Mus musculus: one gene and its partner. The protein of the gene in region 2 interacts with the protein of the main gene of each other region in a pairwise test. Links are inferred from orthologs where the notes say so. Each region holds a gene or a part of one and is shown on either strand. Other genes may lie near its edges.

The links.
Region 1: the proteins of Dnpep (region 2) and Mpp1 interact in binary tests that used the Homo sapiens proteins (3 or more experiments, as listed by UniProt). The two-hybrid records come from large-scale screens. The link is inferred for Mus musculus from reciprocal best matches to the Homo sapiens genes DNPEP and MPP1.

Annotation. Positions count from the first base shown.
Region 1 is NC_000086.7:75,120,896-75,124,553, forward strand, and holds part of Mpp1 (55 kDa erythrocyte membrane protein), read right to left. Parts: intron 3,087-3,658; coding exon 3,001-3,086; intron 609-3,000; coding exon 540-608; intron 1-539. UniProt on the Homo sapiens protein: Essential regulator of neutrophil polarity. Regulates neutrophil polarization by regulating AKT1 phosphorylation through a mechanism that is independent of PIK3CG activity.
Region 2 is NC_000067.6:75,310,937-75,314,070, reverse strand, and holds part of Dnpep (aspartyl aminopeptidase), read left to right. Parts: intron 1-561; coding exon 562-645; intron 646-1,505; coding exon 1,506-1,666; intron 1,667-2,039; coding exon 2,040-2,079; intron 2,080-2,177; coding exon 2,178-2,279; intron 2,280-3,134.

The sequences.
Region 1 (3,658 bases), on a different chromosome or scaffold from region 2:
AAAAACTGGGCACAATGTGTTGCCTGAAATTCCAGTACTGGAGAAGAGGGTCAGGGAGAAGAAATAGGTGAATCCCTGAAGCTCATTGGCCAACCATTCTAGCCCAATCAATGAATTTCAGGTTCCTTGAGAGACACCTCTCAAAAATAAATAAATAAATAAATAAATAAAGGTAAGGTGAGGTTAATATAAACCTCTGGCCTCCACACTCATATACATACATGTGCACATGCGCACACACATTTACACAAGAACACCCCAACAAACACATAAAGATGGATGACACCCAAGGTTGTCCTCTGCCCTCTACACAAATGCACTTGAACACACATGAACAAGCACAACAAGCACACACAGACACAAGAAAAATAGAGAGAAAATAAAGGAGATGACAGAGTGGACAATAGGATAATAGGATCCCAAGCCAAGCAACTAAACACCTGTGAGAGATTCAAAATGTATAGTTATAGAATCATGTAATTTTAAATAAAATCTCAAAGACCACCAAACAGCACAAAAGAGAAAATGGCACTCTATACCTGTAGCGCAGGAAGGCGACTCTGCTGATTAGCAATGACTTTTAATGAGATCATTCCTTTGGTTTCCTTCTATTAAAAAAGAAAAGAAAAATGAAACTGTAGCAAAAACTTACGGGGGGTGGAGGAATAGGGTTTTATAAAGTCAGGGTTTTCACGACAGAACCATTTTTATAGTTTAAGATTTGGTCAGATATTACCTCTTGAACCATGAGATTGTCATGTACTTCCCACACCAGCATAACTGAAGACACAAAAATAATAATGCAATAAAACATTGCAAATATTTACAGTCACATGTTTCTTTTGGTTTTTGGTTTTTCTATATAGCTGAGGCTGGCCTTAACCTATGATCATTTCTGCCTCAGGCTTCCAAGTCCCATCGCAACTGGAAGTAGATACAAGTTTAACTTGTTATTGGCCTCCTAAGAGCTTTTATTATAGGCATGAGCTATATTGCATTCAGCTTAACGATTTATTTTGTAATTTAGTTACCATAATTACAGCTGATCATCCTCTCTTTTTTTCTTACAATTTAAATAATAAAATATGCATAATATCACATACAAATGTTTTCAAATTATGTATATATCATATGACTAACATATGCATTACTTCACAACTTATTTTTGTTGTGACAATACTCAACATATATTCGCTTAGGACTTTTCAAGAATATAATCCGGATCACAGGGCTCCCAATGGAGGAGCTAGAGAAAGTACCCAAGGAGCTAAAGGGATCTGCAACCCTATAGGTGGAACAACATTATGAACTAACCAGTACCCCGGAGCTCTTGACTCTAGCTGCATATGTATCAAAAGATGGCCTAGTAGGCCATCACTGGAAAGAGAGGCCCATTTATAGGCAAACTTTATATGCCCCAGTACAGGGTAACGCCAGGGCCAAAAAGTGGGAGTGGGTGGGTAGGGGGGTGGGGGGGAAGGTATGGGGGACTTTTGGGATAGCATTGGAAATGTAAATGAGGAAAATACCTAATAAAAAATATTTAAAAAAGACAAACTGAAAAAAAAAGAATATAATCCGGTGCCGGGCGTGGTGGCACACGCCTTTAATCCCAGCACTCGGGAGGCAGAGGCAGGCGGATTTCTGAGTTCGAGGCCAGCCTGGTCTACAAAGTGAGTTCCAGGACAGCCAGGGCTACACAGAGAAACTCTGTCTCGAAAAACCAAAAATAAATAAATAAATAAATAAATAAATAAATGGTTTGTTGTATTATTTATAGTTCCATGATCCCCACCCATTCCCAGCCCCTGATCAGCACCATTCCACTCTCTACTTCTACAGGTTTGCCTTTCTTGATTCTACGTATATAAGAGTTTACGTGATGACTATCTTTCTGGGTGTGGCTTATTTATATAATGTCCTCCTGGTGCACCTATGTTGTATCAAATAATGGGATTTCCTTTTTGTATAAGACAGGACAGCATTTCATAGTGTGTATATACCACATATTTTTAGTTTATTGGACTCCATAGCTTGGCTATGATGGATTGTGCAGTAGTAATTGAGCAGATTTTTAAAAGGTTGGTCAGTAGTTTTTTTGTTTCTTTTGCCCAGTTTTCTATTTGGTTTTGTTTTTAAAATGAAATTTAGATTTCCCCAGAATTATTAGCTCTTTTCTGATGTACTATCTTTTTAGCTTATGCTCATTTGCAAGTAGTTCAATGTCAGAGGCCCACTTTAAGGGCCAAATTTCTGACATCACTCCCGGTACTATGATATTACTGGGCAGCCCAGTAATAATTAGGTAGCACATTCAAAAAGGGAGTTTGAAAAGTTTCATGAAGGACATTATTCACACAGGTATACATATCCTCAGGAAGAATTCTCTCCCTTGTTGGATCTTTCGAGGATGTCCACACCTGTGTGAAATTGGTACCTACAGGAGCAGATTCGTCAGGTAAGAGAGCAAGCACATAAATACCTTTAATAACTGCTTGCTGAATCTACTGAAGCCCAAGTGATCTAGAAACTAAAATCAACCTACTGACATGTAAGACAAAGTTAAGAAAGATGGCAAAGTATCAGGAGGGGCAAACAGAAAGGCAGCATAAACACCAAGCAGAATCCACATAGTGGATTCTGAGACTACAGACTGAGAGAAACGAATCCACCTGCTCAAAGCCATACAGCAAGAATAAAGTAAAGCAAGGATTCAGAAATACCAATATACACCACAATCTCCAGATACCCAGGGCAATAGTCTTGTTTTTTTTTTATGAGATTGATGCTCTCAAGTTACTAGCCCTGCTTTGCAGTTTTAGTAAATGAAAGCAGAGAAATAATATTTCTTAGACAGAATATCAGAGGATCAGAAGTGATAAACACCCTCTCAATAAGATAACCATGCTTTTGCAGAGAAATGAGATACAGTGGCACCAGTTCCCATATACCTTTCATGAACATAGAAGATAGTATTTGTCTGGTGCAGAGAATACCCACCATTGCCTTCTGCAACTGATCTACTGAGTGATTAGTCACATTTGTGCCATTGATTTCTAGGATCTCATCCCCAACATGAAGGGAGCCTGTCATTAAACAAACAAACAAAAGACTCAATGCATAAAATAATAAAAAGTCAAACAAGAGCTGTTAGTATAGCTCAAGAATACCACATAATCAAAAATAGAATTTAAGGCATTTTATAAAATAGATAAAATTCAAATAGTAGAAGTATTCAACCAGGAGAGATAAAAACAAATTTGGTTCTGAATCTATCTAGCACAGTTCAATACTGCCTCATCCTTTTTTATTTCAGTCATCCAAGAGCTGTCTGCGTAAAAGCATCTCATCCTTGAATTCCTGGAATTAGAATAGCTGCCAACCCCAGGAGACTTGGACACACATATACACATTAAAAAGAATAACCAAGTCAGGGAAAAAGATCTCAGTACTCCCAATTATTCAGTGAGATCAATGTTTCTTTGTTAAACACATGTTCTTAGATGGTTAGTCAATGTTAAAATTCTATGTGAAGGATGGTTACCAAATTCATGTCACCTTGGATGAATAAAAAACATAGTTAAACATAAAAGGGTAGGACATAATGAGGAAGGACACTCACTGGAGTAGCCATAGCCAACATTGGGAATAGTTTCTA
Region 2 (3,134 bases):
CCTTCTTTGGGATCCTTGGGACCTCAGTAGGGCTGTCTGTACCTCTTGGTCACCTTCATGTTCTTCACTGTCTCTCTCCCCCAGTCAGGCTGTTTCTCAGCTTTCTACCCTTTGCCCCTCCTCTGCTTTCTAACCTGCCTTTCCCTGCCTGTCTGTGACTGGAGATAGGCTTTGGGTGGTAACTGTAGCTCCGGGGCCTGTGTCTGCTTCTGAGCCAGCCAGCTGGGTTGTTCATGGACATGTCTAGAGCTGTTAACAGAAGCCCATCAGTTTGACTGATCTTCATAATCATTGGCCTCCCAGGACTTATAGTTTCAGTCTGTCTTCAACATTATCCTCCTGCCTTCTGCATGGGAGTGTATGAGAGCAAATGCTCAGAGAATGGATTTACTTATCCCACTAGAAAGGTCCTACTCCACCTGCCAGGCAGGACCCTAAGAGAAAGGTTGCGAGAGCCCAGCCCACTTCCCTGGCAGGGCAGCATGTCCCTCCCAGGTCCTGGCAGACAAAGTTGTAAGAAGCAAAGGTCAGGGATAATGAGCCTGTCTCCTCCCCATCTAGGCATTGATTGATTCCTGTGCATCCCCTGCCTCTCTGGCCAGGGATCCACATGTGCGCATGGTCACACTCTACGACAATGAAGAGGTATGTGGAGGGCTGGGGCAGAGGTCCCTCAGTGGAGTAGTCAGTAACTGCCTGGTGGCCCACACTCAGAGCGAGCCAGGGCATTCTAGAGGCCCCAAAGAGGGAGGAAGGAGAGCTGCCAGTGCTCCCATAGCACTTGTTCCCTCCTGGCCCTGCATAGATTTTTATAATGGATTCCATAGCCTGTATTCTATGTGTACCTTGCTGCATTCCTACCCCAAGGATGGGGCCACTACACAGGTCATCCTTTCAGGTCTGTGGCTTGGCACATAGCGGGTTGTCAGCTATGTTGTTTAGCTGTAATCTTGAGATGCTATAGTGGAGCTTGACAGGTAGATGTTCTCTTTCATGTAACTCCCTGGGTCAGCTAGTGGTTTGGATAGGTCTCTGGTCTATTATGCTAGTTGGCTATTCCATCTCTGGCTATCATGTCTATACCCAGTCAGCAGTAAAGGAGAGGGCAGAGAGAATAGATGCCTTTGTCTTCAAGAGTGTGGTCTGGAAATGGAATTCATTATTGCTCACATTCACAGAACCCAGTGTGGCCACATTCAGTTACAAAGGAAACTGGGAATGCTGTCTCTAGCTGGGTAGTTAGTTATATAGCTTTAACACCTGCCTAGCCCTGGGTGTAAATGTGGGGGACCAGTGTGGAAACCTCCATCAGTAAATGCTATTTCTAGTCCATGAATGACTGGGAATTAGTCTGGCCCTAGTCTACTGTCATATGTTCAGAAAGGAGAGTCTCTAAGGATACTTCTCTCTACCAAGTGACTCAGGTGGATCCCGGGCCATCCTGAACACTTTTACAGTCCAGGCGCATGTCCAGATTCCCACAGTCAAATCTCTGCCATCTCCAGGTGGGGTCAGAGAGTGCACAAGGAGCACAGTCCCTGCTGACGGAGCTGATACTACGGCGCATCTCAGCCTCACCTCAGCGTCTGACTGCCTTCGAGGAAGCCATACCTAAGTCCTTCATGATCAGTGCAGACATGGCCCATGCTGTGCACCCAAACTACTCGTGAGTCTTCATACCAGACAGTACTTATGCTAGAGACGCGGCATAGCCCACTTGCAGGCTAGTTCCTGGGCCTGCCTTTCTCCATCTGCTGGGAGGTTCAGGAGTCTTCCATTTGATTATTCCAAGGCCAGACTTATGCAAAGCCATGTGTTGCCTAAGCCGGGTGTATATATTAAGTAAGCTTTGTCTGTGACCTTGCTTCCTTTCATGGCTAGAATCTGCCTGAATCGTTTGTTCTGATGCCCTTGAGGACACGCAGGGCTAGGTGGGAAAGAGTGCCATGATCCATTAGTGCCATCTGCCTTGGAAGGGGTAGTGGCTGTTGACAGCCCCCACCACAGTGTGCCATCCTGATCTTTATCACCTCTCACAGGGACAAGCATGAAGAAAACCACCGGCCTTTGTTCCATAAGGTAAGATGCTGCTTCTCAAAGATGTGGCGGCCTGGCCGACTCTGGCCTCTGTGGTTCACACAGGCCTCACATCATCTCTGTTCTGGGACTTTTGCCAGGGTCCTGTGATCAAGGTGAACAGCAAGCAGCGCTACGCCTCTAATGCAGTGTCTGAGTCCATGATTCGAGAGGTGGCTGGCCAAGTTGGGGTGCCCCTGCAGGTGAGTGTGCATCTTTTCTAGGAAGGCTTGGTGGAGGGAGCAGAATAAAGACATAAACTGATGAGCTCCCAGTAAGTGAGGAGCATAGGAGAGAGACTTTAGTGGAGGGAGTCCCAGTGAATGAGAAGATCTGGGGTTTGGGGTGCAGAGCTAGATGCAGTGCTGGCTTTGTTGTGGTGACTTTGGCCTAGTTTGCTAAGCTGTCTTGAGTTTTTGTGTGCCCATTGGTAAAGTGAGGGTGATAATGAGCCCTACCCTGCTGATCTCTGTAAGGATTACTCCTGCCACCTGGTAGGTTAGTCCTGCCCCTTTTCCTTCTATAACCCCATGTCTCTGTGTCTTTCTTTACTTTTACTTCAACCCAGAAGGAAGATTCAGGACTGGTGAGCCTAGAACCCCAAGTGTTCATTTTCCCTCTGGCCTGAGATCACCCATCACTGTCCTTAGGGCACTACATGAGTACACACACTCCACATCAGAGACTTGGCCCAGGCCAGTCCATCGATGGACAACACCCAAGTTCTGGGAGAGGCAGGACCAGACAAGGGCCGTCTCTGCATCAGTGTCTCCATCTTGTCCCATGTAATGTCTGATCATTCCACTCACAGAGAGGTCTCTGGGAGGAAGTGAGAGGCAGCTGCTGAGAAACAAATACCATGGGGAGGTCCAGAGGGCGAACATCTCAGCCAGAGGGAACAAACAGAAAGATCCCCAGGGGGAAAAGGAATGAGTTAGTCTAGTAGCAGAAGAGAAGGCCCAAGTTGAGAGCAAGAGGGACAGGAGAAGAGACTCACCTAGACCAGTTTGCTTCTGAAGCTCTTCTGGTGCTGGGCCGGGCCTCAACTTCTTTGCATG